4 linked regions of the Diceros bicornis minor genome follow. The protein of the gene in region 2 interacts with the protein of the main gene of each other region in a pairwise test. Links are inferred from orthologs where the notes say so. Each region holds a gene or a part of one and is shown on either strand. Other genes may lie near its edges.

Region 1 (8,391 bases), on a different chromosome or scaffold from region 2:
ATCAGACGTGCGACTGGAAATTTCTCTGAGCCTCAGATTCCTTATCTGTAAAATAATGCCTACATCGCATCATGGTTTCCCACATGTGAAGTGTCTGGCAGACAGAGGGCAACAACAAATGTTAATCCCCTTCCCAGTTTATTTCCCTCCACTACCCTCCTCCCCTAAACCTAAGGTTAGGGAAGGAGCCAGAGAACAGACACTTGCTATTTTCCTACTGTAGATTCAGAGCACACTGTACATGGATATCTCCACATACAGAATACCCCCATTCCAGGTCAAACGGATTTGGGGAGGCTGGTCCTATCTAGTTTTCGCGTCATTATAGCTCGAGCTATATGTGTGTCCTGGTGCTACAGCCCTCATAGCAACACCTCGTCACACATCTCCCAGCCTTTTCTTTCTTGCCTTTCAGAGGCCCTGTCTCAGTGGCTCTGTTTTCTGGCCACAAGACTTTTTATTTATTTCACAGTTCTTGCCCAACTGCCCACCAACCAAGTTCTCACATTGGCAACTGGCATCACCTGAAAAGCTGTTTTCTCATTCGTTCCCGAGATGGGCAGGTTTTCCAGGGCCAAACCTCACTGCTGGAGGTCTGGGGCTTTTTTGCATAATAAAGGACCCCCTGGGTGGCTGAATGGTCCCAGAGGCTGGTGCCAAAGCAGCCAGTACCCCAAGTTCCAGTCTGACTCGGCTCACGGTGCCGGGCTGCCTTGCGGATGCCTCTAGTGGGCATCTTTCAGGATGAGGTGCAAGTGCCCATTCGCAGGATATTGTGTGTAGGGGTGGGGGTGGGTTTGGGGGTGAGTGGGTGGCTTCTCTGGGCTTCTAAGGGGCAGAGAGATTGGGATGCCACTGGGCTTATGATTCTGTGCCTTCCGGCCACCCCCAGCTTCTGAAAGTGGCACAGCTCCCCATGTTCCCCTTTGAGAAGAAAACACCAAGGACAAAACAGTGGGTGGGGGCGTAATGCTGCTCTGGTGAGTGTCTCCCACCCACTAGCCTCCCCACTGTCCTCCTCCCACTCAGCCACCCCTCTACTGTAACAAAGGCACATCACAGCACATTTTCAAAGTTATCAAAAGTCTCTTGGTCAATCAACAAACGACTCAAAAGGAGGAAAAGAGACATCTCGAAAACAGTGGGAAAGATTCCCTGGGAAAAGGACAGAAAACCTTGCCTGCTGCATGTAAGGCTAAGAATTGTTTTCTCCCTGCTGGCTGCTTTTCTCTCTGTTCTAAAGAGAAGCTTCCAAGAATCAGCTAAATAAAGGGATCACACCAGAGGATGAGAGATAATGCTAAACCAACAAAAACAAAGACCCAAATGAAACAGAGCGAGCCATGAGAATCCGCGGTTATCAAAACTTTGTTTGGTCGTATCTATTTATCATCGCTGCACACTCGGGCTCTGCGGAATATCATTCTGTTGATGTCACTTATCCTCAGCAAAATATTTACACATCCTTAAAAACGCCAGATGAGGGGGGCCGGCCGGCGCACTGCCACAAGCCGTCCCTCAAGCCCCATCACCGAGTTGTGGGCAGACGGTGAGGTGAGGGTACGACGGAGGGTGGCTCCAGCGGGCACAGGTAAGAGCCACCGACAGTTCTGGGAACGCGGCCACCCGGGCGCTGTGACCTGCTCTGCCCACCTCTCTCCTACCTGACTCTGCAAGAAGCAGCCACATCCCCGATATGGTGTCAGCGCCTCCTCCTCCTCCCCCTGCCTTTCTCATTGATTAAGTTCTCAAACCATTGTTAAAGCCGGGTTGCTTTTCCCTGGAAAACTGGGCTGAATTCATTAAGCTTTCCCCTGCCACAAAAGGAATATTCATAAAAGTTTGGCAGGCAGAAAGGGAGGCTGATTGCGTGCCATGGGGTGGATGACAATTCGCTCCTCCAAAGCCACCTTCTTCCTCCGTGCCCTATCCCTCTCTCCGTCGTGCCCCAAACCTCCTCCAGGGACTTCTGATAGGGAAGCACAAAGCAGCAGCTGTTTGGCAACATTTCTACCCCTCGCCGGCAACTGTGGTGGGATGCCATTTCCCCACCCAGGCGGAGCTTATCCTGAACAATAGTCGGGCTTTAAACAGCAAACAAGCAAACACACAGAGCACAACCCCAACCCCGAAAAAGCCAACGCGGAGACAAGCAAGAACTCTCTCCGCAGCAAAAGGCACGGCTGAAACGCACGCAAAAATGCAGCGAGAACGCTGCTCGGTGCCTAACATGGCAGAAAGCCCGAGCTGGTGCGGCCACCCCGGGGCTGGGCATTGGGGGGCACGCGGGCTCCCGGGGCGCCGACGCACACTCACCCGGCTCCGGGATGATGCGGGGCTGGCCGAGCGTCACAAAGACGAGCCCAGTGCGATCTGGCAAAACCCAACTTTCCACCCGGCTCGCCAGGGCTGCCAGATACGTCAACAGAATCCATCTTTCGAAGGGCCTGGAAGGCGCCGGGTTTTCCGGGCCGGGGCAGAGCGGCAGAGCCGGAGGCGGCTCGGTGCGGTGCCCGGGCGCGGAGTCCGCCGCGCGCCGCCCTCTGCGCCTGGTGCCAGCGCCGGTTGCGGCCCGAAACCCACTTCGGGGCCCCCGCCCCGCTGGCCGGCGCCGCCTCCCCGGCCGTCCCCGGCCCTGCCGGCCAGTGCGCGGCGCCGGGAGCAGGAGTGGGGCCCGGGGACGCCGCACGGGTGGCGGCCTCGGCCCGCGTCCCCGCCCCCGCCCGGCCCTCCCCGCTGGCCCCGGCCTCCGGGCGCCGTCCTGCCCCCGGGAGCAGGCCCCTCCCCGGGCGCCGGGCCCCGCCAGGCGCGCCCAGCCCGGCGCGCCCCCTGCGTCCCGGTGGCAGGTCCGCGCGGGGAGGGCGGGGGGGGACCCCGGCCCGCACGGGGGCGCCGCGGCCGCTACCTCGCAATCGCGGTCGCCGCCTCCAGGAAGCCGCGGGGTGGTCGCGGGTGCGGGAACTCTCCGGTCTGGCCTCGCCGCCGGCCGCCTGAAGGGGGTGCGCAGCGGTGGGAGCCGCCGTCGCCGCTGTCACTGAGCCGCTGTCGCCGCCGCCGCTGCCGGTTGTGCGTGAGCGTGTGTGCGCCTGTGTCCGGACGAGTGTGTGTCTGCGTGCGGCGCCCGGCCTTTACTATATACACCAAGGGGTGGGAGGAGGCGGGGAAGGGGAGGGCTTGGGGGAGGTGGCGGAGGAGGGGGAGCAGGAGGGGGGCGAAAGGGTACCCGAGGAGGCGGTGGCTGAGGAGGGACAGGTGATCTCGCCCACGGGGAGGGCGTGGCTGTGGGCGGCGCGGGGTGGCAGGAAGAAGGGGCGCCCGGGACGCGGGAGGCGGGGGGGGGGGGGCTCTGGGGAGGGCCAGCGGAACGGGGACCCTGCTGCCTCCTGACGGACTGGGGACCATGCCTTACCCCAGGATGAAGAGGGGAGAGAACAGAGCCCAGGAGGGAGGAAGTGGCTGGCTGATGGAGGCGGGAGAGGTGGCAAGGGCCCACCGATCACCTCCTAAAATGCCAATTGTGACACAGGTCGAAGATCCTTCTCACAAGGTGTGAGATTATTAAACATAAAATTAGTCCACGGACATCATCTCATTTCCACATACTTGCCCGAGAGGTGATTTATTTATTAATGTGACTTACATTTATTAAGCACCGCGTGTTTGCCGGACACTGGGCTAAGAATTGGAGTTACAGAGATGATGAATATACGGTTGCAAACCAGTAAATAAATAATAGGTATCAGTAGTACCATTGATCATTTTAAAGTAAAATAAAAAAGCTAAATCCTATAAGTGTTTTAAGAGAGCAAAGGAAGCAACTACATTGGTTTAATTAATCCCTAAAGATGTAAAGATTTTCTTTTTTTGGTAATCAAAACAGGATGAAGATATCTGACAGAGAACCGCAGAGCAGAAATTACTTTAATCAGAGCAGAGAGCAGTCTGAATCGAACCATCCTTTGCATCTTCAAACCTCCAGTCCCCACACTGTGAGTAGTAACCATGACTCCCCTCTTGTAGAAGTTGGGGTGGCCCCACAGAGTGTGAAATACATAGAGAGCAGCCTGGCAAGTTTATAATTAGTATGGGAACCTGAACTTGTGTTTGAAAAGTTCTGTTCTAACCTTGTTGTGTTGCAAACACAATGTGGTAGAAACTAGGGCCACATTATGACTTGCGTGGGCACTTTGCTTTTGCGGACTCCTTCCTCTATAAAAAAATAGTAAAAATTACATTTTACAATTGCATTGGTGTAAAGACCAATATATTACTATTATACGTTAGAACATTTTCTTTGACCTAAAAAATCACTTTTTCTTCTGATTTTAAAAGAAATTAAAACATTTCTGTGGGCCCCTACAAGTATTATGGGCCCCAGGCACAGGGCCTACTGCCATAATGGAGAAGTCAGCCCTGGTGGTACCATTCCCTGAGACTGAATTTCCTCTTTTGAAAAATAAGAGTTAAATTTAGAAGTACTCAATTGATACAGAGGCAGAAAGACACCCAGTGCAAGTTTAAAAATTGATAATAATGAATATCAACAGAAAGTTCCAGTTCCTACTTGTTTCAATCAGGCTCTTGGGGTTTTAAATCAGCTCCGAGTAATTAATGTTACCTGTGGAAATATTTGTCTGCGAATGTGTCTTCAACCATTTCAGTAACCCAAGACTTCCTCTATAGATCCCATAACTGTTCTGAGTCCTTGGATCAGGTATGTGAGGTCTCAGTTGCCAGGACCTAGCCTGACTACAACTAAAGACACAGCTGGGCAATTATAATTGGGCAAGTTCATGGATGAAAGATCCATAAAGGTTTTGTGTGTGTTGAGGGGGTATGTGTGTATAAGGTAGGGATTGATATCCTGGAAGGCAATTACTAGCCTATTTCTTTTGTTGGCCTCATCACAACCCTGGGTTAATGTTTGATCCTCGCTGGCAGTTGTGATTCATATTTTCTGCCCTTTGAGGTGCTTATGTTTTCAGGAAAGACTATATTGATTCAGATTAATGCATAATAAACAGGCATCATGGCCCCCATTCCCAAAGAAATGTACTGTGGCACCCCTCTGTACTTTCATCATGGCTGCTGTTGCAGAGAGAAGGGAAAAATAAGAGTCCATAAAGAAAGGGTCTGGATTGGGGGGGAGGAGATGTTTTAGGACAGAAATAGGACATTAATATGGAAGAACTGTGTTCATCCAGTTAAAGGAATGCCTGAGAAAACGAGAGGAAGAAAGGACATGTGCAAACAGTAGGAAAGAACCAAAACAATCTTCCAGGGTTGCTCAGGGTGATTTTTGAGATCTGTAATTCTAATATTTGATGACTTGAAATAAGGACTCAGGAAATTTCCCATCTCAGATCTGATTCTTTTATCTATATCCTGCTTCTATAATACAGCATCTCCTCATAATCTAGTTTTCACATACTTGCCAGATGGATGATTCGTTCATTTGTCCAATGAACATCTATTAAGCACCTGCTGTATGCCAGTCACTGAGCTAAGGACTGTCATTAGAGAGGTGGTTAACACATGGTTGCTGACCCCAAGGAGCTCACAGGCTGGTAAATAAACTGTTAATAATACAATGTGACACTATGTGGTACATGAGGAGTTATAAATTGGGCTGGGTGAACACTGAACGAGTGGGCCTAGCCCTGTACTGGGAACGGGTAGGAAATGGCATGGAGGAGGGCAGTCAGAAAAGATTGCATAGAGATGATGACAAGAGGTAAGCATTGAGAGATGAATACGAGTTTTTCAAAGTAAGGGAAAGGCATTACAAGTGAGGGGAACAGCAGGCACCAAAGCTGAGATGCAAAGAATGTTCTGGAGGCTGCAAATATTTTGTGAGGCTGGAGTAGAGGTTGTGAAGAATAGTGGGGTGGGGGGGAGCAAGCTAGGGGTCAGTTGAGGTCCCTGGTCTGTCCTGTAAAGGAGCTTTTTCTTGGAGTCAATGGAGAGCCATTGAACGACTTTGAGCAAGGAAGTGACCAGGGAAGATTTGGATTGAGGAATGGATCACTCTGGTGGTGGGTGTGAAGGGCTGATTGGAGGGGGGTGAGATTGGCAGCAGGGAGACCAGGTGAGAGACACTGTTGCTATGATTGGAGTTTGAGTCAGGGTGGTGCCAGCAGAGATAAAGGGTAGGAACTTGAGTCAAGTGGTACTCAGGACATAGAATCAACAGGACTTAGTGATGGAGGAAACAGGAGTAGGGTGACTTATGCCTGGCTTTATGAATCGGGTGACAGGGATGCAAAGGGATAAATGCTGAACAAAAATGCAAGGGGTGATTAAAGCACAGAGGATTGAAATCAAACCCAGGCTTGGGGAAAGAGGATGGAAAGCATTCAGAGAAATAGTCCAGTGAGAATGATATTTTTACCTGAGGAATATTCAGAGCCCACAGGGTAAGGAAAAGGTTTTGACCATTTTAATAGAACAGAAACTTCTAATGTAGTCTGCATAGTGGTTTCAGTATTCTTTATTTGGAGATGTCATATGAACTGTATTATGCCCAGATTTTATCCAAAGGGCACAATAGAGTTCATATGAAATCTTTGCCAATTTAGCAGACTGAATCAAAGGATACGTGAGTTTGTCCTTCAGTTAGGCAATCAACAAGCATATCCCGAACAGCTATTACTTTACAGTAGTGAGCTGCATGCTAGAACACATAGAGTAATAAAGTACCATCCCTGCCCTGCACTGAAGTCTCTCCTAGTCCAGGTGTAGCTCTGTCTAGTCTCACAATCAGGAAAGCATTTGATTTCAGAGGATTCTGAGAAACTGTCAAGAGAAAGAAGCAGGCTCATCATAAAGGGCTGTGTTTGTGGCTGCTCCATGCTGCATTCCCCATTCCTCTTTCCTAATAGATCCCTAATGTTCAGGCATCCATCCCTCTCCTATGAAACCATGTGCCTTAGAATTTGATCCTGGCTTTAGGATGGGCTCTGTTTGATCTGAGGCAAGTTGCATCCCTCCTGCTGTAATTTGGACCAAATAGATGAGAGGAGAGGTATGCTAGAGGCTTTATGGGTGAGTTATTACTCTTCCAGGAGATCATCCCTCCTTCTCCCAGTGGACATAAAGATAATGTAACCTCATTTGCAACTGGCAGCAAAAACACGATGGAGGTAACCACATAATTGATCATCTAAACTGGGACACTACTGAAGGTAAAAGGTGTGCTATTACTAATCATGTTAGGGCAAAAGGCATAAACTGGATCCTCCTCAAAAACCAGGATGGATGGTTACTGTGATGCTAGGAGCCAGGCCTAGGAGGGAGCTGATGCTCAAGGCAGAACAACAAATACAGAGAAAGAACCTAGAACTCTGAGGATGTTATTGAACTGCTAGAACAACCCACCCCGGCTGGAGCCACCTGAACTTGCACTTCCTGTTACAGAAATTATTACACCGCTTAATAGGTTAAGCTTCTTTGAGTCAGGTCTCCATTGGTTGCAGTTGAAAGCATCCTAAGACATACAGGTTTGTTTTTATTTTACTACAATAAAATACTACATTTATTTTACTACAATAAAATACTACGTCTGACAGATTGGGTAAGGGCCGTTCTGGAGTGCAGAGATCTAACGAAAACAGGTGGCGGGCAGAAGCAGGTGAGGAACGGATATTTTGATGTGACTTGAAGGACGAGTGAAGGAAATCACCTAAACTAGACTGTGTTGGAAGCGCGCGGTTCCGCTGAATCTGGAAGGCCAGCTGTGCACGGGGCGCTCTGCATTCCAGCAGCGCCGTGGAGGCACGCTCCTGCTCCCACAAACGGCTGAGACTCCTGTGCGCAGCGTCGGGAGAGTCTGTTTCTATCTCCTGCTGGCTCACTGCTCTGTCTGAGTGGCTTTGAACCCGCTCTGCCTTCTCCCTGGACTCAGATCCTTTGTAGCAGCAGGAGTCCGTTCCCCCTTGTGCCTTGTCTTTCTGACGTGACTGTCAGCATCAAGGGGGGACCCGTGGCTCACACATCCCACAGCATCTACGTCAGTTCTCTTTGTGTTGGGCCTTCAGTACGGAATGGTTACATTCATGATTATCTCCCCTCACGTTTGTGCTTCGGTCTCTTACTCCCAGGGAGCGCCAATACCCTTTATCTTGTACAAGTCTCACAACTATCAAACGCACCTTCCTTTTCCGTGTGGAGGGAGGATGTGGACAGAGTGGGTTTGGGGTTGGAGCCACATGACTGTCACCTGAGGCTATCAGGGTTTGTCCAAATCAACGGAGAGCCCTGTGCAAGCCAAGTGTGAAGCCAGGTAGCATGAGACAGAGGAGAGTGTGTATACATCACCAAGAAAGGACCGGAAACAAAAATTGTAGCTGGGAGAGAGATTTGGAGTCAGGGGTGTGACATAATAAGGCAGTG
Region 2 (8,021 bases):
AATGACCAGGTCTAAGGAAGAGTTTCTCAACCTCAGCAGTACTGACATTTTGGACTAGATACCTCTCTGTTGTTGGGGGCCATTCTGTGCACTGAAGTATGTTTAGCAGCATCCATTGCCTCTACCCACTAGATGCCAGTAATATCAGCCACCAGTCGTGACAATCAAAAATATCTCTAGACATTGCCAAGAATTAAGGCAACGAGAACTGCTAGAGAAAGCGAGAGTGAGCAGGAGCCACAATAGTCAAAACACGAAGCAGATGTCAGTAGATGACAACAATTAGGAGGAGTGGGTGACATAATCTGACGACAAGGCTTAAAGCTGATAATACACACAGCTTCACCACGATGGTAAAGCTGGGACTAGAACTTAGGCTCCTTTCCTAGGGCTTTTTTAAACGTCTAGAAGGTGGGCAGACATCTCCACACGATTTCATAGTCAATTAAATTAGACTCACAGAGTCAAAAATAGGGGTTGGTCAAAAACAATAGGCACCATTGCTGACTGCCATATATAACAAACAGCTGAAGGCACATATTTTTGGCTGAATTGGTATTCTAAAAATCCTAAAAATAGGACATAACATCTTGGTTTTTCAAAAACTCTCAATTTTCTTTTTAGCCCTGAAAAGTATTAGACTGCCTTTGGTTAGAAAAGAAACATCTTTTATTAAATGATTGCATTTATCTGTTTGCTATAGAGCAACTATAACCAACATTTTCCTTAGATAACCAGTCACCTTTATCTTCACGTAGTCTAACCATCAAGGAGGACAAAAGACCTTAATATTAAATGGACTGATTGCAATGTTCTCCAACTGTGTGTCACCTGCTCCTCTCCCTGCCACCTGGAACGACATCATCTCACCAGACTGCAAGCAGATTTAGAGCAAATGCCCAATTTTCATCCCCACTCCCTAAAAAGCATATTCACAAGGGAAGTGCTTGTTGAAATTAATAGATGTGTCCCCCTTATAGGAGAAACAGCTTCAAGATGGGAACTGTACTGTTATTCATTAAATTCCCCCCAAATGCACTGTCCCATTGCAATAATTAAGTCTTTAGGCCACAAGGAAGCTAGGCTCATTGAACCTCCACAAGCCCATCTGCAGAATTCTATCTTGTTATGGTTATACTGAATTTAAATTTTATAATGCATAAACATGAGGCAGAAAAGATGGTGTCAAGGAAACACACGATGTGATCGTCCAAGTCCTGCTCAACTCTACAGATTATCGGGTCTAACATTTAAAGCATGCATAAAACAAGGGTGAAATCCTCTCATTTCAAGTCCCCCAATAGGAAGTTGTCAGAGCTTAATAGTGATATAATTATTAGACTTTTACATAGTGCTTTTATAATGACTAAGGTATTTTTATATATTGATTCTAAACTGGATGCTTTCCTATTGGAATAAGAGACAACAACACCTTCAGAGTAAGAACCAGGATTTAAATCTCAGCTTCGCCACATATTAGCTGTGTTATGTTACTTTATCTAGTTTCATTTTCTTATCTATTAAATGGGGATAATTCTAACTTAACAGTCATTGTGAAGAAAAAATTCCCTACAATATGAACAGCATAGTTCTGACACATAATAGTTGCTCAATAAATGAACAATAGCCCTCTTATCTTGTTAATTAAAACAAACAAAACAAGCCTCAGAGAATGGAAACACGATAATCTTACAGGTAGGTCTCTCTTTTTGAAAGATCAACAAAATCTTCTGATTTTATTATAATAGACCATAAAGTCAGGTTTATAGCTATTTTAGTCTTTATAACACAAATGAACATAAAGAACAGGTGCCTACCTTCCAAACTTTCTTGTTCATCCGAAGTGTAAGCATCCATCTGACTTTGTTCTCGTAAGAAACGAATAACTGCATAAACTAGGTGCTTGATAGATGACATTTTAAAAGCTTAAACACTTTTCCTTGATAAGAAAAAGGAAAACACTGAATTAAGTTATTTTAAAGCATCAGTCAGGAAGGTTATAAATAACAAGTTATAAATTACATTAAAAGGAAAAAGCAAAAACAAAAACCTGTATTACCTTCACTCCATTCTCTTTTTAAAGAGTCCGGAGAGCACCAAGTATTGTTATGGTAATGTATGACATATTTTCATTTATACCCAGTAGTATTAGATTACGTTACAACTTGCAAAAGTAAAAATTTTCTCAAAACATGTACAAAACAACATAAGCTTAAACTCTCCGACTATCTCACTCTATCTTAACAGTATATATAGTACAAATACAGATAAGGATAGGGATCGAGGTACAGATGCAGAAATCCCCAAAAGGCCTCAGTACTAAGTTAAGGGAGACTTCATACTGCTGACTCAGAAGCGGATCCACGCTGAATACCTTCCTCTATTTCATGAGATTTTTAAAAAAATGTATGCATAATTTACACTCCACCTACTTTTGCAGGCTGAGACAGTTATTTGATGAAATATATTAATGAAAGGTTGTTCAACCACTGAGTGTCATTCTTAATAAAAATGGCATTTCTATTAAATCAACAGACACGTCAGGAAATCACTGCCTAAGTCGATGGATACTACAAACCGACCAGCGCTCTCTGCAGTAGCCGTGCTCTCGTGGAGGAGCTGGAAGCGCCGGGTCCTGTTCATTCACATGGAATACTATCGCATCCAAACAGTGGCGCAGGGCCAGCCGGCATTAATGGCTTATTCCCACTACATCGCATCATCCATCTGCTCCTCAGGTTCCCTAAATCAAAGCCAGGGTGTGGTACCCGCCGCTGGGATGTTTATTATTTGTTTGCTTATTTTAAAGGCGAGCCCAGCCCCTAGGCCATGGGGTAGCAAGTACTAAATAAGGCCTCAGGGCAGAAGGTGAAAAAAGAATGGGGGGAAAAGGCGTGCGGAGAGGACATGGAGATGTCCAACCTCCTCCAGGCTTCTCCCTCCCCTTCTCCCCAGAGAGCACCGACCTCCTTGTCCCTCCTTTTGGTGCCCGGGCCTCGCCTCGGCCCTGACGGGTATTGTTGCGGGTGCACGGTGCAGGCCCCGTCTGGGGCGGCGGGAGACGCACCCTTTCCAGACAGAAGCCCCTTACCAGACAGGAGGACGCGAGACGGTGGCAGCGGGCCCGCGGGCGTCCGTAAGCCGGTCCAACCGCCCACTGGTCCTCAGGGCTGGAGCCTGGCTCCCGATCGCAGCACTGCCACGGTCACCCAAACTTGCCCGGCTCCCTGGCCGCCGCCGCCGCCCCTCAGCCCACCCGGCTGTGCGCTTGGCTCGCGGCGCCTGGGTCTCGCCGGCACCGCCCCCGGGGCGGCGCCAGCCGCGCGGGCCGGGGCGGGGCTGAAGGGGGCGCCGGCGTGGGGCTGCCGCACGTGGGAGGGCGCGGGCAGGCCGCCGCTGTCGCCTCCTCCGCCAGGCCGCCTCGCGGCGCCCGGGCGCCGCGCCCCCCCCACCCGCGAAGCGAGGGCGACGCGCCCGCCGCCGCCGCCGCCGCCTCTCTGCGCTCCCATGATCGCCCGGTGCCTCTCGGCTGTGCGAGGCCTCCACAGGTACCCCCGTGCGCGGGTTAACCTTGGCCGGGGGCACGGCGGGGTCTTCTGCCCGGTACTGCCAGTCGCCCGGCCCAGCTTTCCCGACCGCGCCCCGGCGCCGCTCCTGGGACCCGCCCTCCCCGCGGCCCGCATGGCCTGCCCTGAGGGACACCTGGCGCGGGGACTTGGGGCCGCCTCTCCCTCCTCCGCTCCCTCGGGAGAGCATCCGTTCCCCTTTGTTTGGCGCTGCCTCAGCTGCAGTCAGCGAGACGGGTCACAGGCCCGACCCAAAAGGAATGCAGAAAGATGGTCCAGATAAGAAAATCATTCGACTTTCGCCCCCATCCAGAGCTGCAGACTTGTCGTTAAAAGTGCCGCAGCTGTAGACTCGGGAGTAACAATTCTCATTTGCCCCTCACGCACATCATTAGCGTACAAATCGTGTAACATCCACACAAGGTGAAACCGCTATGGGTTTCCCGCTTATTTCCGTCCGTGCTTTCTAACTTCCTTTTTATTTACCTCCTCCGCATAAAACATTCGGCCTCTTGCCGGGGCAAATTAACTTGGCCCAAAATGGAGGAAATTACTGCTTGGACACGGCTTTGGGAGGCTCAGCTGCTGTTGTGGATTGCTTCCTGGCTCCCTAACCACACCCTTCTGCAACAGACCAGTAGCAAGATGGGGAGAGAATTAAATTCTTTGCACGGATGCCCTGGAAGGAGTGGTTTTCAGAAACAGTACCGCCACCACCCCCATTCCCAAATCTAACCTTGAATTGTAAATCCGAATGAAGCTCCAAAAGAAAAAAGGAAATGTGTGTTTCTTGCTAGACACTTATGAAACCACTTTGGAATGTATCAGCGTTTAAGCTTTCTAACAGTTTTCTATTGTGCATTGCCGCGCATCTGTGTGGGGCTTTGTGTTGCTCAATCGTTATGGTTATGGTGCATCTGGGGACAATAGTAATTATAAGGAGTTAATGTGATGATTTTGACCATGTTTGAGGCTGTCCTTTTAGTCTGCAGGCTGCAAGTGGTGTAGCTGTCAAATGAAGCTATACCAATGAAGGAAGATCTTCACATAAAGCAGATGTGAGAAGAGAAAATAAATTTCATATGACAGCAATTCTCAAACTTTTTAGTCTCAAGATCCCTTTACCTCTCAAAAATTACTGAGGACCTAAGACCTTCTGTTATGGGGGTTATTCTCTCCATATTTACCATATTAGAAATGAAAACTAGGAAATTTTTTAAGTATTAGTTTATTTTAAAAACAGTAATAAGCTCATTACATGCATAAATAACATTTTAATGAAATAACTATTTTCCAAACTCCTCCAAAAAAATTAGTGAGAAGACTGGCAATGTATTTTTTTCCAGCTTTTTTTTATTGTGGTAAAATATACATATAAAATTTACCATTTTAATCATTTTTAAGTGCACAGTTTAGTGGCATTAAGTACATTCACATTATCCATCTGCAGAACTTGAAATTTCGTCACCCCAAACTGAAACTCTGTACACATTAAAAAATAACTCCTCGGGCTGCCTGGGTAGCATAGTGGATAAGTTTGCGAGCTCCGCTTCAGGGGCCTGGGGTTCACAGGTTCAGATACCGGGCACGGACCTGCCCACCACTCGTCAAGCTGTGCTGTGGCGGTGTCCCATATACAAAATAGAGGAAGATTGGCACAGATGCTAGCTCAGGGCCAATCTTCCTCACAAAAAAAAGTAATAATAATAATAACTCCTCATTATCCCCTCTCCCAGTCCCTGGTAACCACTATTTCTTCTGTCTCTATGAATTTGACTATTTTAGGTACCTCATACAAGTAGAATCATGCAATATTTGTTCTTTTGTGACTGGCTTATTTCACTTAGCATAGTGTTTTTAAGATTTATCCATGTTGTAGCATGTGTTAGAATTTCCGTCCTTTTTAGGGCTGAATAATATTCCATTGTATGGATATACTGCATTTTGTTTGTCCATTTATTCATCCATGGATATTTGGATTGTTTCCACCTTTTGGCTCTTTTGAATAGTGCTACCATGATCATTAGTGTGCACCTATCTGTTTGAGTATCTGCTTTCAATTTTGGGGGATATATACCTAGAAGTAGAATTGCTGGATCATATGGTAATTCAATATTTAATTTTTTGAGGAACCACCATACTGTTTTCCACAGCAGCTGTAACATTTTACATTCCCATCAGCAGTGCACAAGGATTCCAATTTCTCCACATCTTTACCAACACTTGTTTTCTGTTTTTGGTTTTTTATAAGAACTCCTAGGAGTGACATTGTTTTGCACTTTTGCACAACAAATGTGTGACCTCATATAAGATAGCTGGATTCTTACGTCTGCTTCTGCATTTAATCTGTTGCAGTGTTTTGTTTTGATTTAAGATGAAGAAAATCTCACCTCTCACTCATATGTAGTTGGAAAAGGAGGAGTATTTCAACAGCTTGTGTGTGTGTGTGTGTGTGTGTGAGGAAGATTGGCCCTGAGCTAACATCTGTTGCCAATCTTCCTCTTTTTTTTGTTTTTTTTTTTTTGTGTGAGATCAGCCCTGTGCTAACATCCACCAATCCTCCTCTTTTTTTGCTGAGGAAGACGGCCCTGGGCTAACATCTGTGCCCATCTTCCTCCACTTTATATGGGACGCCGCCACAGCATGGCTTGCCAAGCAGTGCGTCGGTGCGCGCCCGGGATCCGAACCAGCGAACCCCGGGCCGCCGCAGCGGAGCGCACGCACTTAACCGCTTGCGCCACCAGGCCGGCCCCTCTTCCTCTTTTTTTTTTTGCTTGAGGAAGATTGTCCCTGAGCTAACATCTGTGCCAAACTGCCTCCCTTTTGTATATAAGACACCGCCATAGCATGGCTTGATGAGCAGTATGTAGGTCCGTGCCCAGGATCCAAACCCGTGAACCCCGGGCCACCGAAGCAGAGTGCACTAACTGAACCACTACACCACTGGGCCGGCCCCTTTAAGAGCTTTTTTTTTTTAAGGTAATCATGGATATTCTTTGATAGCGCATGAAAGTTTGACATGTGTTTCTTTTTTAAAGGTTAGTTGCAGTGTGGAATGTGAAAGTATCAATGTACTTTTCTTGCTTTGTTACATTTAAATTCATGGGTTTGTCTTACACTTTGAATGGATCTTTTACCCATGCGTGATCTTGTAATATTAAACAATGGTCATTTGGAAAATCCTGGTTCACTGTGTTATACAGATCTTCCTAATTTTGACACATTTCATTATACAATATCAAACAATCATATTCCTTAATATCATCATCCATCTCATCATAAAAGTCTTCAAGTATTAGGAAGCTGGCAAGCTCAAGATAGAAGCCACAGTTTTTCAAAATTTGAATTGTCATTTGAAAGCTGAAATTTTATCTTTGGTAACAGATACTACCAGTTGTTTTTCTTGAAATGACATGCTCATTTTGTAGCATTTTTGAGAGAGTTTCTGCCAAATAGTTGAGTCTGAATAACCATAGTTTTTCAGTCGTTTTTTTCAAGTACAAATGATGTTTCATGAAAAAAGGAGCTATTTCAGCTCACAGTTCAGTCAGTTGCACAAGTGCTTTTGATTTGGACAACCAGATCCTCCGGACAACCATTGTACTCAGAAGTGCAGCACAAGTGCGTTATGGACACTTTGCTACGTATATATATTCAGTGATTGAGATTTAATAAAATTAATAATTTTTACTGTATCATCAAGGACATCCTAAAGTGGAATTGACATTATTTTCATCATGAGGGTGTGGCAATGAAGAATATACTGACTGCTAGGACGATTTGCTGCTACTACCTTTGTTTGTTCTAAGGTGCCAACAATTTTATCTACCATTGCTTTTCACCATCAGTGCAAATGTCAACCAAGGGAAAGGGTAAATAATGTCTTAGTATTATTATGAAATACTTTTAACCTCACAGACTTCTTGAAATGGTCTCAAGGACCCCTCCCCATACTACCACCCCCAAGGATTGCAGACCACATTTTGAGAATCACTGATATGTGTTATTCAGATTCTTTGTTTATGCATTGAAGAAAATAAATGTGTAAAGCCATATAATTATTACCTTGCTAGAAGCTGGCAGTCTACCATAAATATATCAACTATTTTGTTACTTAAGGGCATATATTATGGTAAATCAACATATACAGTAGTAGTAGTCATTAACCTGGGGCACTTGTGAGTGACTTAGTCACAGAATCTTTGTTTCAAAATCTGTATCCTCCAAAAGAAGTCAATACTAGACAACATGGAAGGCACTCTGTGCTCTCTTCACGTATTTTTCCCATTTTCTCTGATACTTGAGAGTTCATTTTACTGTTATTAAAGTAACCAGGTTTTTGTCTAACTGACTTAGGATTTGTCTTGGGTTTTCCTGTTGACAGAGCTGCTATACCCGCTTTCCAAAGGCAGCTTGGCAGCCAGGATCATTGATGGGGGGGCATTATGCCAATTT
Region 3 (7,673 bases), on a different chromosome or scaffold from region 2:
GACCCACCAGAGATATGCTTACTGGACCTAAGAGTATGGGAGGGATTAGTGGGAGGGGGAATTAGAGGATGGGAAGGCAGAGGGGGTGAGTGGGGGAGATGACCAGCATGGATGGGAGTTTGGTTATGTTGAGCAAATAAGTATTGAATAAACAAATGAATAAATCAGTAAATATATTGAAGACAATGAGAACCAGGTATCTCACTGTTGTAGAGGTACTTATAAAATTTGCAAAAGGGAAAACTAGAGAGAACCCTGAGATTTTGGATTGGGATTAGAGATATCAGTGTGAACTCATGGTTTCAGATAGGTAGATAGATTGGAACGTTTAGGAGTGACAGAAAATTATGTTTACAGTTTTCTCTTGAATAATTCAGAAAATACTAATTATAATGTATGTATATATATGTATACACACACAAGTATACCACATATATGTATCTACACACACGTATATAATATATATGTGTGTATACATATATATAGATAGATAGAAAGGAGAAAGAGAGATTAGATAAACAGAAAGAGCACACGTGCGCTGAAATGTTAACAACTGGGGAAGCTGAGAAAGAAGGAGAGAGGGAAATGGTAGTTCTTTGTATTACATCAACAACTTTTCTGTAAATTTAAAAATATTTCAAAGTAAATTATTTTTAAAAATTGAAAAAGATGACCTCGGGACAAAGGATTCCTTGAGATGTTCAAGCAGAAGCTGAGTGGCTCTCTCACAGGGATATTGCAGAGAATTCTTGCACTGGTTGGGAGGTTTGATTGGACAATCCATCATTTCGAACTTAGAGAATATGATTTATGAATCATAGATTGGTGACAGTACAATGGAGTGAAATTTGAGCCACATTTCCAGAAATTTAAAGGAATATTAAGATGTTAAAGAGATGTTATATGAGTACTGAATATTTTGTGAAGTCTCTTTTCCCCATCCATCCGTCCATCCATCCATCCAATTATTGAAGGCATATGCAAGGGACTGTTTTAGACACTAGGTGTACACATATAAATAAAATACACCTCCTCTGCCATCAGCTTACTGGAGTGAAAGCACATAAAATGCAGTGATTTATTAAGCAAACGTTGAATGATCTCACTAGTTTTGCTGGTATAATTTGGAAATTCTTTTACTAGACATATTTTACTTTTTTTTTACCCCTAGAGATGACTTCGTTTGAAGTGATTAGTCTGAAATAGTCTGGCTCATATAGACAGACCTTCTCTCTATAGCATGTGACATGTGCGAGGCAGTATGCTGTGTGTGACCCTAATCCCATCCCTAATTAACTTCAGGGTCTCTTCTGTGAAAGGAATTAAGAGGAGCTGTCTCACAAGTATATTTAATGAGAATAGAGCTTTTAAAGGTATGAAAGTCTCTTTTTAGGTTACTGTTCCAAATAATTTGGAACAAAAACACACGCAAAGGAAAAAAAATGAAAAGATATTTAGCTATTGTGTCTTGCTCTTCTTTTACATCTTACAGCATCCAATTGTGCTAGGCAGGTAGCAGGGTCTCACCTGTCAAATGTTGATAGGACTGAAGACTTTATAAGCTATTTCTGAAATTAACATTTAGGTTCAATTATTTAAGATACATTTTTCTACAGTGAAAGGAACTTGTCATATTAAAATAGGATGTGCCGTAATTTTCTATAAGCTACTTTGTTTGCAGTATGTAGATTTACACTAAATATAATTTAACCTGTTCTCTTTTCAGAACATTTTCCTCTTATCACTCAAAATATATGGAGCAAACTGACAGAGGAAAAAATGCCTGAAGTTAATCCGTGGTCAAATGAAAGAATTAACTTTTAAGTCCTTATTAATGAGAACATTTACTTGTATGTTTGTAAAGTTTGGAATTGAATACATTTTTACCTTTATAAAAACACTGTAAAATGCTAAGAAACATAATAAAATTGAACTTGTAACCCCTTGCTATTATTTTTGTGCATATTCCCAGGTTTATTTTTTTACAGTGAGGGTAGTGATGGTGCTCAAATTTATACAGAGACACTTTGGCTCTCACTAATGAATAATTATTTTCCTGATGCTCTAGGGGCAAAGTAGAGGGTTAGAAGGAACAGATTTGTGAAAATATTTAAGAGGTTTGCGGTAATATTTTATGGACAATTGTGGTATCTTTATTGTCTATTAAAAGAGCCTAAATCAGGGAGGAGAAATTCATGGCCATTGCTTTTTCCTCCCCAAGAGACAGGAAAATGTACATTCTGCTTGACCTGCTCTGACATAAGGTCCTCACAGAACAACTTCATTAAAGGATCTTACTAAGACAGAGTGTTCATCTCTGTCATTGGAAGGAAGAGTAATGGCCTGTTCCTGGGTAATCACATTATGATCTGAGTCATGTACAGACATAATAATTTGGTAGCCAAGGGGACTTGTGATGGATGTTTGCTGGTGTCACTACATGGGTAGGAAAACATTGATTGAATGATAGTCTCGGACATTCGGATTTATTATTTATGAATTGCAGGGTACAACAAGAATGCTAGTGTTCTTGTGTTGCATAACTTTGTTTTTGGAAAATTATCTCTCACAGTGTTAAGTTAAAAGCTGGAAGAGGGTTTGCTTATGTTAGAATAAGTAATATTAGACTATAACCCTGGTTGTAGAAAACATTTAGAGATGCCTAGATGGGCAATTAAGAATTTTGGCAAATTAGATTGTGGCTTATAACAGTCATTAGGCTTCTCAGGTCTGTCATTAAGCTATAGTCCCATTAGGACACTGAAAGAGGTTAACAGGATCCTTGAAAAAGTTGTTTTAAATGAATTCCTTTTAAAGGTATCTACATTCGTCTTATTTCTTTTTCATGAATTTATCAGAAATAATATTACATTTAGTGATCAATGGTAGAATTTGTTTAATTGCAACTGGACCAAATTTTCCATTTATCCTCTCAGAGGCCACTGATGAATAATACCATGTGTTTAATATCTGATTGCCTTTGAGGCGATTGATTTGAACTAGAAGAATGAGATCAAAACCCATTCAGTTGTGCATCCATGTTTTATTAATGATCTGTTTGTAGAGAAAAATCATGTAGAAATTTAAAAGCACAAAAAAGTAACACCAATGTTTATTATCAAATTACCTATGTTTAATAGTATTACCTTGATATAATGTGGTAAATCAATAATCTTAATTTGGTCTTCTTGTTCAATGTAGAGAATATATTTCTTCTACATCTACTCTTTCTCCTAAGGATTCAAATGGGCCTTGTATCCACAGGAAATTCCTCTGACCGTTGTATAATTTGATGAATTGTTGAGAACTCTGTAAATGCAGCGGTAATTTGTCTCTGCATTCTTGACTTGATTTAGCTTTATTCTTTTTCTCACAGGGCATTCTGAAATACTTATGATAGAGGACATTGGTAATCTGATGTGGGAGTCCTGTGAGGAAAAAAAAGAAATAATTATTAGCAAATTTACAAGCACTGACACAGTCTTCCAAATTCTGTTTCTACTAGTTATAAAAGAAGTGGAATAATGGATGAAATAATAGTATAAACTTAATGATTTTTAAAAATTCTGTTATTGTCTTCTCTCAATTCTTGCATATTTCATCATTGATCATTCGCCTGATCGTGGTAGTCTTTTTATACAAATACAGTGAACACCTGCTTTGATTTTAGAGGAATTAATCAAACAATGTTCAAGGTAAGTAGAGTTGGCCTTGACTGACCAGGTGTCTCATGTACTAGTGTTTCCCAGCAGGCACATTTTCGCTATAACATTACAGTGAATAGTCAGAAGTCAATTTTGGGTAAGTACCTTAAAACCGAATAGCTTTTGAATGAAGTATGTATGCAATAACATTGACCGTGAGTGTGTAATGGAGTAGAGGAATGGCATTTCAATTCACTTTGGTACAGATACTATCTAAATTTATCAAATTAACACATTAGTTTTATTCTCCTTAAAAGATGTCACTATAAATTTGAAGCTCGAATTCTTATAGGACTATTCATCAGGTTGTTTAAGTCACCAGTATTTTGTGCTTTCTGATGAGATACGATCCAAAACCCAATGAGGTAAGTGAATTTTTAGAACCAATTTTTTGTGCGAGCTTGTAATTTATTTAAGTGCCTAGAAATTTTCCGGGAGAAATGGATGCTCAAAAAATGTAAATTTTAATTGTTAAGATTGTTAACAATAATGAGAGGATAACTCCCAGATTCTACTATAAGGGAAAAAGTTATATCTTTCATAATATTGTGTATTATTGTAGTATAAACTAAGTACATACAGATAGGCCTAATGAATTGCCACTTGATGACGTAAAAGTACTAATAACATTTTGACTACTTGTATATCTACAAACTGATATTTTGGTCAGAAATCTTCTGAGATATCGAATATATTAGAAAATTATACACAGAAATTTATTTTGCATGTAAAACTTCTCTTACTCACTAGCTTTTACTGTTGTTGCACTGCCACTCACAACCTTATGTACTCATTTAATCCTTGATAAAACATTTGCTTGATAGCATACCTCTATATTTGCAGTTTACCAAAACATTGCTTTCTAAAATTGTTTTGGATTGCATTTTGAGGTCTTTTTCCTTTCCAAATTGTATATCTAAACAAAGAAAGTTTAACTACATATGTTAGAAAATAATTTGAAACATCTAGATAATGACTCCACAGATTAGTTTTGGAGAATATTTGACTGTTAGTAATCTTTATATATAAAAGTGATTCTCAGTGACTCTTAACCCTCTGAAGAAATAGACTTCATTTCTTTAAGGCTAACAATACATTATTCTGGAGGCTTTCTTCTTTACCCCCAATGAAGGGTTACTTCCTAGTAACTTATTAAACTAGGAGTTATTAAGGGTCACTAAAATGTATTATTTGTAAGGTAAAATCAGTGTTACTAAAATTTGTGAGGCCTTCAGAGTCAGTATTCCATCAAGTCTGTGGTAATATTGCAGAATGGTAAACTCATCCTGTTCAAGATGTAATCAGATGGTTGAATTTCCTGCAATTTTAGTGGAGAGCACTTTAATAGGGTGTCATTAGTATTGCTGTGAATTGGTTATAGTTTTCAATTGCCGCTTTCTTATATTTGTTAATTTGTTTGTCAAATTATTGTTCAATTTTTTTAAAAATTGCTTTCTTTTGTTATTATTGTACCATTTATATTTGATTGCCGTTTTGTTTCTTTATAATTTTTCTGAAGTTTTTTTTTCCCTCCCTTTGGAAAAGTACAAGGCGGGTTTTGGGGTATTTCACCCTACAGAAGTGGGATTTCATAAAGTGTGAGAATCCGTGCTGTAAAAAGTTAGCCAGATTACTCAATTGATTTAGAATATATTAACTGACTAATATTATAGGTCCAAGACCACACTGTAGTGTGTTCAGTTTTATTCCATTTTTCCTTTTGATCTATATTTTAGAATAGTCTGGACAGAGGATTCCCTTGATATCAAAGTTACAAGTATCCCATTTAAAACCATGGGAAAAGATAGGAAAAAGTGTCATATAGCTATTTAGAGATAGTATTGCTATCTATAATGTTCCAGAATTATAATTTATCCTTGATTTTAAGAAACCGCAATATATTTTGGACTAGTTCTTGAAGTCATATAAACAATACCATTAGCACATGGCCTATTTCTCCCAGTAGATGATGCTTATTCTGAAAATTGGCATTAGAATCTTCTTGTGGTAGTTTGTCCTAACAAGACAGAAAGTTCTAGCAGGTAAAAAGTTTTCTGTTGAGCTTAATATGGTAAACTCTGATTATTTTGAAAACTAATAAATTTTGAATCAAACAATGCACAGATGTCAAAATGGATAAGATCTTATTGTGGAGTTTCCTATTGACTTTTTCTGGAAGTCAAGCCTCAAGACCCTGGGCTCAAAGAAATGCTGAATTTGCAGTGGATCTTTATCAAGCTATTTGTTTATCTCATAAGGACAACGTTATATTTTCCCCCCTTGGAACAACTTTGGTTCTTGAAATGATACAACTGGGAGCAAAAGGAAAAGCACAACAACAGATAAGACAAACTTTAAAATTTCAGGAAACCTCAACTGGTGAGATTCTTACATATGACTTTCTATACTGGATAAGATCTGGTCAAATTTATTTTTTAAATATTAGAGAGAAGCTTACGGTCATAGAACTTTAATAAATGAAAAATACTGTGGAAAGTATACAATTATAATAAAATGGAGAATTGTAAATGTAAATAATATTCATTCATTTATAATTGTTTCCTAATGAAAATGTTACCAAAATAATTTAAGAAATTAATTCCATGCAGATATAAAATTGTATGTCTGTGTATTTTCTTCTGGCCTGTTTTAGCGAGTTTTAATTAACTGTGATTATGTTGTGCATGCATGTGTGTGTGTATGCATATACATATTCACATATGTATACATATACACACATAAATGTGCTTCCACCATCACTTACTATGTTGTGATCATTGTCTCATATCATGCAACTGCTTCAAAATATAATCTTTATTTTTTGTGAGGAAGATCAGCCCTGAGCTAACATCCAACGCCAATCCTCCTCTTTTTTTGCTGAGGAAGATTGGCCCTGGGTTAATATCTGTGCCCATCTTCCTCTACTTTATATGGGATGCCGCCACAGCATGGCTTGACAAGTGGTGCGTCTGTGCGCACCCGGGATCCAAACCTGTGAAACCGGGGCCGCCGCAGTGGAGCACGCTCACTTAACAGCTGTGCCACCAGGCCAGCCCCCAAAATATAATTTTTAATTGCTGCATTTTATTGCCTCTTATAGAAATGCCATTATTTACTTAACCCTTCTTCATGAGGTTGTTTTCAACATTTCTCTTATAAAAATACTTCAGTAAGCACCCTCACCGAGAAATCTTTGTGTGCATCTCTCATATTTTGTTAGTCTTTTAAAATTAGTTTTCTAATTAAAATTTAAATTTTTCACTTAAATGAGATCAAGGAAAAGCATTAATTTATACATTTTAAAAGCTTACTTGGTTAATAGTTTTTAAAGATTTGGGGGAAAAAAAAGCAATTACATAACGCATCAGAGGCCTTTTTGCGTGTGGCTGGTTGTTTTGGAGTCTCCCAAAGGCCTGAGATACTATGTAGAAGCTTCAGTGCTGGTGTCCCATTCGAAGGGGTGTTTGCCCATCTACCTAGCTATACTGGTTCTCAATTTCCATAATGACTTTAATATTAAACTTTTATGTTACTGTCAGATAATGGGTACGAAACATCAGAGGAGACATGCAGATTTTTGATTTAGCGATTTAGTTCGCTATAACTATATAATATCTATCTAATTTATCTATCTATATATCTAATAGATATATTAGATATAATATATATATCTAATAGATATATTAGATATAATATATATATCTAATAGATATATTAGATATAATATATCTAATAGATATATTAGATATAATATATCTATTAGATATATATATATATAACTATCTAATTTCAATATGTTTGCCTTAGCACAGAGTAGTTACATTTAGGAAAATCTTTCTCTGAAAAAACTATTCACAAAGTTTTATTTGCTTTCTTTTAAATAAAGTCGCTTTTATATAGAAAAGGAGTTGATGATGGTGAAGTTAATTGCAAGGGTTTTCGTTTACGAATAATGTAAGATGAAGCCGC
Region 4 (7,717 bases), on a different chromosome or scaffold from region 2:
TGGTAGGGCAATTCCAGGATGTCGTAGTAATGGCCATCAGGGGTGGAAAACTCAGCTGTGAAGATCCAAAGATGGTGCATTGCGAATGGCTCCCAGCTCTTGTTGATTCTAACCCAGCACTGGGTTTTCAACTAGTCCCGTCCCCTCCACTCTTTCTGGAAGCCAGCTGTTCATCCTGGCTTTTGAGGCTCCCCCATCCACCACTCCTCTATTCAATGTTTTTATTCCCATTTCTTTTCTCTTCTGCCAATTCACAATGTCTTCTTGTTTCTCTGTCTCTTTCTGTCCTTCTTTACCTTCTCTCCCCTCTCCCCCACTCCCAGCCACTAATTCATTCCAATCCTCATCTCCTTAATCTCAACTTCCACACAGCCCTTCCCCTAGCAGGGTTTGTGGACCCCAGGTCATCATACTAGAAACACCTGAGGATGAGAGACAGGGGTCAGGTGGTCAAATGTGAGCCTGAGGGAATTTCTGGATTTCAGCTTCATCTTTCATGGGCTGCATGCAACTTTATGCTGCTCCAGCTGTCCCAGAGTCTCCTACTTGGGAAGTTCTGTCAAAGCTGGGGTGTGTTCTAGGGTTTCCCTCCCTGAGAGGGGAACATCCTGGGGTTGAGGTGCAGTAGTTGTGAGTCTTGGGGAAGGGGTCTTGCACTTACCGTAGTTGAACTTGTTGGTCTGAGCCATCATGGACACAGAGACGGTGCTGCCGTCGGACTTGTGGAAAAGGCCGTGGTGGGTGCCCGACTCTGGGAAGGGCGTCTTCCACTGGCCGTTGAAGTAGAGGGCATTCACCAGCACCAGGCGCGTCAGCTGGTCCACGGCCCCTTCGCCAAGTAAGTCACTGATCATGCCTATGGGAAAGCCAGGTGATCAGGAGGCTAGATACTTTTTAATCCCCTAGATGGTTCCCTTCAGCTCCCAGTCCTCAAATGGATGTGTGTCTGTTGAAGGGATCCAGTTGGAAGACAGACTAGTGGTTGCGTGAACCAATCGATCTGCTTTCAACCTGTTCCATCTTCCTAAGAGTCTCAGAAAGCCTTCCAGCTCAGCATACTTTCTTGGCCCTGGAATCTTGTCCAGGATCAGACCCAGAAACTTCAATCTTCTGTTCCTTTGTTCTCTAAACTGTAAGTCTTGAAGGATTGTGTGTGCTCCTTGTCATAGTTACTACTGTTATAAAACCTCACAACACTTTTTAGGGGTGTCTTTAGAGTTGGCTCATGAGAAGGCCTGATTATGAAAAACATGACAGTTGGATTCTTAAAGCACTTGACCTTCTGTCTGCAGAAAAGAGAATGCTGAAGGGGAGAGCCTGGGATTCATAGAATTTGTGTTTACGTCCCCTTTCTCGGCAGGCCCTTGGGATGGGCCTGCTTTCCCTGCCTGCTCACCTTTTGTGTGTTTCTTCACCCAGTCATTGACGATGAACCTGGCTCTCTCCACCTCTGAAAAGTCCACCTGCTTGACTGTGGTCTGGAACAGCCTGAAGAAGTGGGGCATGAAGCCCTGGACCAGCTTCAGATCCCGCTGGACGAAGATGGCGTCGGCGGTGCTGATCTCGTCCTTGTTCCATGGGCCCATGAGTTCCTTGTACAGTTGGCGGAGGGCAGGGGCCATGCCCTTCTCTGTGCCAAAACGGGGAGGAAAAGACACATTAAGCTCGTGTTGAGCCAAGGGCTCCCAGCCGGGATAACTTCCCCCATGAGAGGCCCAACCCTCCCACATGGATGGGACTCTTCTGCTCCCTCAGGGGTTTCTGGAGGGAGATTTCATTCCAAACCTTAATCTCTTCTGCTTTTCCCTCTTTTCCTCAAAACTCTCAGGTCCTAACCCTTTCTTTGGATTAGAATATTTTTCTCTGTTTATAAGTTATGAATCCTAAACTTTTTCTTATAGTAATAATAGGTATGCTAAGGATTTCACATGCATAAATCTATTTAATCCTTCCAGCAGCCCTTGTGGTAGGTACTTTGATTGTCCCCACTTTGTAGCTGAGGAGACTGAGGTTCAGAGGAGCTAAGGTTACACAGTTAATAAGTGGTGAGGCAAGGCTGTGTTACACCACATCCATTGGCCTGTATACCTTGTGACTGGTCAGGAGCCCAGTGACATGGGGTGTGGTGGGGAGGAGATGTAGCGGTCTCTAAGGCATGGTGGTACAGGAGTTGGCTTGGCTAAGCTGGAGTCAGCCTTTCCCCTGCCTCTGGTTGGTTACACCCCTGTCCTGTAAGTCTGACCGCCTCCCACTCTGCCCTGTCTCTCACCTTCAAGCTTGAATTGCATTGCTGCTTGGATCTGCTGCCGGGTTTCTCCTCCCGTTGTCAGCTGCAACATAGCCAGCACCGAGGCCACCCCATAGGGCGAGAAGACCACATTGCGGTCCTTGGAGGCCTGCACCACCTGCTGAAACACCTTCACTCCGAAGTCTGTGGCCAGTTGGGCTACCTGGGACTGGCGGTTGTACGAGGCAGACCCCTCACCAAAGATGAGGGTTAGGCCCAGGGCTAGGCAGGCAAAGACTGGAGACATCCCCATCCTGGAGCAAGTGAAAAAGGAACTCGTGAGGGAATAGTTCTGGAAGACTGGTGAGTGGGGAGGGGAGATGGCACCCCAGCCACGGGCCAGGCTCCCCTGCTGCTGGCGGGTGATAAATGAACTCGAGGACAAGATTCAGTAAGAAACCACGATGGGTTCAGATTCTGAGCCTTTTCCCCTCTGTCTCAGCCCCAGGGCATCTTAAGCCCGTTGTCACCTGTGGGAATCTTGGAAACTGCTGGCACCACCCTCCTGTACATCTCCCTTCCCCTCCAGGAGGCTGAAAGGCTAAATTATAATAACATCTCTGGTTTGCATGATGCTTAAATTCTCTTATAATGCTTTCACAACTGTTGTTTCATTCAAGTTAGCAGGCCTGAAAAACCCCTTTCCTGAGGCGGGAAAGGGGGGAGCATCTTGATGGAGAGGGACGGGACGGTCGAGGCCCTTGTTTCTGGTGGCGGGGTTGTTGGTGGGGCCTGACCTCCTTCCCGGCTCCCCTCTGATCATTCCTAAGGCCGAGACAACTCGAGGCTGCAGGTCTCCAGTAGGGGTGGGGAAACAGAGGAAAAGTGGGGATCTAGGGTGGAGGAGATGCTGGGGAGAGGTGCTCTCCACCTTAACCTGAGCCAAGAGGTGGAGAGAGTTTGCTCTTCTCTTACCTGAAGTTCTCAAGGTGCCTTGTGACTGGAGGTCTGTCCTGCTGCTGGGACGATTGTGGCGATCTGGCTGCTGGAGGAGTAGCTGTGGCTCCCGACAGTGCTCTGGGGCCTGCAGCCAGGAGCAGCTGTGCTCCTCAGGAGGCTGCAGCCTCCTTTTATACCAGATGTGAGCAGGAAATAGATGAACTCATGGTTCAGCCCCACCCACTTTCTGGCTCTAGAAGTCTGAACAGCCGGCCGGGCCCCTCAGCACCTCCCTCCCTCCGCAGACTTGCTGTGGCGTGTGTGTGCGTGCTGCTCTGTGTGTACGTGTGAGAGGGCTCAGGGACAATTGGGCAAACCCCCATTGTCTTCACCCAGGGGCCTTCCCTGATTTCACCGCCCTCTGCCTGTGTCCCTCTCTGTTATGCCAGCTTGACCCCCGGCAGCACCAGACGGCCAAAAATGCCCAATGTCTGGAATTACCTTCCCCAGTGCTCAGCTTGGGGAAGAACGGTTCACATTTTCTCCTTTTCCTTTGAGGAAACAGATCACCACAGAGTTATCAAAGACACGAACGATCTTGTGGACTTTTTTCCGCCAGCGCCGTCTATCCTGTGTGACAGCCACCCTGGGAAGAACACCCCTCCCTCCTCTTGGCCATGTCCCAGCAGCCAGAGGACAGGGAGCGTGCCATGTGGGTGTCTGGGTTAGACTGTCTAGGACATGATCCTGGCAGAGGACTCCCTTCCGTCTTTCCCTCTTCCCTGCCGAGTGCCTGCCAGTCCTCAGGTGATGCAGGGCTGACTCCCCGACGTGTCCAGACTCTTGAGGTGCCCCCAGGCCTCTGTTTTATGTCAACAGCCCTGTCTGGCTGGGGTTTGAGGTGTGCTGCCTGGGGTGGTGGAGGCTGAAAGGGACTGGGGTTAGCAGGGCAAAGCTTTGGCAAGCAATCGGAGGCCCATGTGTAAGTTGCATTTTTTTGAGCTGCAAGCTGTGATGGGGAGAACTATGCCTTATCCTTTTCCTCCGGACACAGGTACTTGGAGGGCTGGAGCAGAGGGAGTAGGGATAGAAGTGAGGGCCTCAGTTCGTGGCGGGTTTGTGGGATATGCTTCTAGGGCATTGGTTAGGGGGGAAGAATGACCCAAGAATTCTATAGAGGGTGGAAATCAGCTAGAGGTGAGTGCGTAGGACCAGTCTAGTGCATTTCGGGGCTTGGTGAGCTCGGGCACCCTTGGCCATGAGGCCAGGATGTTGTGGACCGAGGGGTGACTGGGGTGGTGCCAGAGGAGTCCTGCAGTGGTGGAGGGGGGGAGATGGTGCACTTGACCTGGGGGTCCACACACTGTCACGCTCTGTGTCGGTGGGGGGGGCTAGGCTGGGAGTATCCATGGAGACAGCCGAGGGCAGAGTCACAGGATGTTTAAGTGGGTGGAAGTGTCGGGATATTTGTTTTGGATATTTTCAGTAAACAGATACCAAGGGCAACCACAGCTGGATGGCTGTCCCGATTTTACTCTGCCTCTGCCTTTGTTTTCTCGGTTGCCCCTGGGAGTCAGGTGGGGATGCGGGGTGGCAGGGAAAGAGGGGGAGACCTGGGTTGGAAAGTTAAGATCACCGACCCTTACGGGGGTAAGTCACTGTTCCCATGTGACTCTTCTTGTTTATGTCCTTTTCCCTTTCCTAGTTGTGGTTTGGAGTCCCTGAGAATGTTAGCTGTGGGGAGGAGGCGCTGACCCTGACCTGTCTCAGGCGGACAGGACCGAGTGCAGCCCCCAACCATCTCCTACGCCCAGAAATCCCCCAGTGCCTTGCCCGCCACCCTTGGGAGTCAGAAGGGGATAGGGACCTGGGAGTCCAGGTTGGGAGAGCCCAGCCCCGAGTTGAAAAAGCAGCGGGTGGAGATGCGGCCAGAATCGACTCCCTCGAGGCGCCCTGCTGCGGACCTCTCCAGCCACTTCAGCGGAGCCTCCTTCCCTTCCTCCATGGCTATTCCAGGAGCCGCTGTCCCTCTCCTTGCCAGGCCTCAGCTGTAAAAGCCTCTGCTGTTTTCTCTGGATGTCCTGGGCCCTGCCAGGGCGGTGACCAATTCCATCCCCGCTCCTGGACCTCATGGATGATCCTGAGGCCGTTCCAGAAAGGACGCTCAGTTCCCGGGCACGGGAGGGCTCTGTGTCCTGTTGGGGAGAGGGAGGTGTGCTTTACTTTGGAAACAGAAGGGCTGACTTACTAAGGGGTCTTTTCCCAAACTGGAGGGGACCTGTAGGCATCTGGTGGGTGTGTATTAGACACTGAGGCACAGCCTAGTGTAACTGGGGCCTTCACTGGGGTTTCTGACTCTCCCTCTGACTTTCTGATGAGCTGGGGCCACTAGATGATCAAAACTCAGACTTGACTGCGGCCCCTGCCCCTCCTTTCCGTGAAATGGCCTTGCCTCTACCTTGTCTGCCCTCTGGAGACCTCCCACACACCAGGGTGCAGGCCGATGGCCTGCTGCCCTCCAGCAGACCTCCTGTAACACCCTTCTCAGAAGCTGGCCTGACTCAGGGGCTGTCACTTTCCCTCCTTCCCCTGAACCCCAAACTAACAGCCTTGACCCAATCACCTCTTTCAAGCCTGGGCTCTTTTGTAAGGGGTCAAATGGACAGAAAGAGAAAAGTCCCTGGTGTTGAAATAGCTGGATCTCTGATTCTGGGAGCGTCAGAGATAAGAGGATGAGTTACAGGGCTGTGGATTTCTGGGGGAAGTTCCAGTTGGAGCCAACTGGGAAAGATGTTTCCATCTGCCCCTCCGCAGGTGGTTCGTGACTAGACCAGACTCACGCTTTCCGTGACTGTCCCCCACCCCTGCCTGCAGCCCCGTAACCCTGGTTCCTTTTGGGTCTCGGCGTGGCCTCCAGCCCTTCACTTCCTGCCCTCCAGCTGCCCTCTTGCCCTCTGCTCTTCCTCCTTGCTTCTCCGTTGCTCTCCAGCAACAGCCACCGCTCTCTGTTTCACTCTCCCTTTCTCTGCGACTCCCTCCTCTGGATCTCTTCTGTGCAGCCCTCGGTCTCCGGGTCATCTCACACTCCTTCCCTGCCGCTCCCTAGTCGTGGCCACGTGAGCTCTTTCCCTGTTTTCTCATTCTCTCTCTTTTCCGCTCTCTATGACTCAATCCCTCTTTCCCTCTCCTCTCTTCTTCCAGAAACCCTTTTACAGTCAAATGCTCTGCTCCAAGGCTTCCTGTGGGAAGAGAGTGCCGCCTGCTATCAGTTACACAGGCTCCTGGAATGTTGGAGCAGGCCTCTTGATTCTGGGTGATTTCACTGGGAGAGCCGGGGGTGGGAGAAGGACAGGGTCCTGCTCACTCACAGCACTATTTCTGGCCTGGTTACTCTCCAAACAACACAACACCAAAAATAGCCTGTATTTGGGCTGGACGGGCTCTGTCCCTCTTAAGAGTGAGCTGGGGAGAGTGTTCTGAGTCGTAGCCTCCTCTTGTTTAAGATCATGGCTCTGGGACAGCCTGCGCAGGGTCCTTCCTCACATGGCGCCATCCTGACTTCCCCCTCCTCTGCCTCCGTAACCCCTCTCTTCTGCCTTCTCCAGCCCTCGCCAGCCACCTCTCCTTCAACTCCTATAACACTAAAACCTGCATCCCCCGACGTAGCCCGCTTGTCCACAGTGGCTTTTTTCTGCAATTATATCATAGAGTTTCAGAGCAGAAAGGCTCTAAGAACCATTTAATCCAGTCCTTTGAATTTGCAGGTGAGGGCCCTGAGGTCCAGAGAGGCTACGTGATGTGTCTAAGGACACACGGTGACATACCATAAATGGGAGAACAGTGCTCATTAGAGCAGACAGACCAGCCTGGTCAGGGGTCTGACACGTAGATGGTTATGTGTCTTTAGGCAAAACGTAACCTTCGTGAGCCCCAGTGTTATTTTTAGATAGGAATTTACAGATAGGTAGATGATGGTTTCCATCCTTCAGGGTTGTTGTGAGGATTAAATGAAATATTGTCTGTAAATGTCTGGCATATTCTAGGCTCTCACTAAATGGCAGCCACTCTTGGTTGGGGCAAAGCCAGGAGAGGAACCCAGACAGTCCCAGAATGGACCCCACCGACATTCGATATGTGTCTTGATCCCTCCAGCATACCAGGAAGCAGGGGGTTTGTTTTACTTGACCTGCTCTTCAGTCTCAGCCCTCTTGACCCATTCTCGGCCACTCACCTCTCCTAGCTCTTGTTGATTCCCCTATAAAACCTCATCACACTTGAACCACTTTTATGCACATCCCTTGTCTTAGTCATTTCTGTACTTATGCTTAAACTTAGTGGGCCATCCAGCACCATGTCTCATTTACCCTTATTTCCCAGGGGGAGATAAGGGGATGGTATCCCCTCGGGAGGCCTTTCATAATGTCAGAGTTCAATGAGCACCGAAGACCCGCATGGCACCCAGGCAAGAATGAGCCTCCTCTATTGGAGGAAAGAGGCAGAGGGAGCGAATGTGGCCCAGTGTGGCCACAAAGGGAAGTCTGATGGTCAGGG

What was found.
Region 1: the proteins of SGTB (region 2) and RAI2 interact in binary tests that used the Homo sapiens proteins (3 or more experiments, as listed by UniProt). The link is inferred for Diceros bicornis minor from reciprocal best matches to the Homo sapiens genes SGTB and RAI2.
Region 3: the proteins of SGTB (region 2) and SERPINI2 interact in binary tests that used the Homo sapiens proteins (3 or more experiments, as listed by UniProt). The two-hybrid records come from large-scale screens. The link is inferred for Diceros bicornis minor from reciprocal best matches to the Homo sapiens genes SGTB and SERPINI2.
Region 4: the proteins of SGTB (region 2) and SERPINE1 interact in binary tests that used the Homo sapiens proteins (3 or more experiments, as listed by UniProt). The two-hybrid records come from large-scale screens. The link is inferred for Diceros bicornis minor from reciprocal best matches to the Homo sapiens genes SGTB and SERPINE1.

What each region holds. Positions count from the first base shown.
Region 1 is NC_080781.1:14,749,834-14,758,224, forward strand, and holds the start of RAI2 (retinoic acid-induced protein 2), read right to left. Parts: upstream 3,015-8,391; 5' UTR 2,906-3,014; intron 1-2,905.
Region 2 is NC_080759.1:11,268,883-11,276,903, reverse strand, and holds the start of SGTB (small glutamine-rich tetratricopeptide repeat-containing protein beta), read right to left. Parts: upstream 3,258-8,021; 5' UTR 2,967-3,257; intron 2,902-2,966; exon of another isoform or gene 2,583-2,901; intron 1,940-2,582; 5' UTR 1,918-1,939; coding exon 1,818-1,917; intron 1-1,817. Other genes in the region: NLN (neurolysin, mitochondrial), read left to right, coding at 3,682-3,839. UniProt on the Homo sapiens protein: Co-chaperone that binds directly to HSC70 and HSP70 and regulates their ATPase activity.
Region 3 is NC_080754.1:54,092,926-54,100,598, forward strand, and holds the start of SERPINI2 (serpin I2), read left to right. Parts: upstream 1-4,372; 5' UTR 4,373-4,386; intron 4,387-5,826; 5' UTR 5,827-5,836; coding exon 5,837-6,083; intron 6,084-7,673.
Region 4 is NC_080765.1:4,808,063-4,815,779, forward strand, and holds the start of SERPINE1 (plasminogen activator inhibitor 1), read right to left. Parts: upstream 3,387-7,717; 5' UTR 3,203-3,386; intron 2,542-3,202; 5' UTR 2,541-2,541; coding exon 2,270-2,540; intron 1,631-2,269; coding exon 1,397-1,630; intron 857-1,396; coding exon 662-856; intron 56-661; coding exon 1-55. UniProt on the Homo sapiens protein: Serine protease inhibitor. Inhibits TMPRSS7. Is a primary inhibitor of tissue-type plasminogen activator (PLAT) and urokinase-type plasminogen activator (PLAU).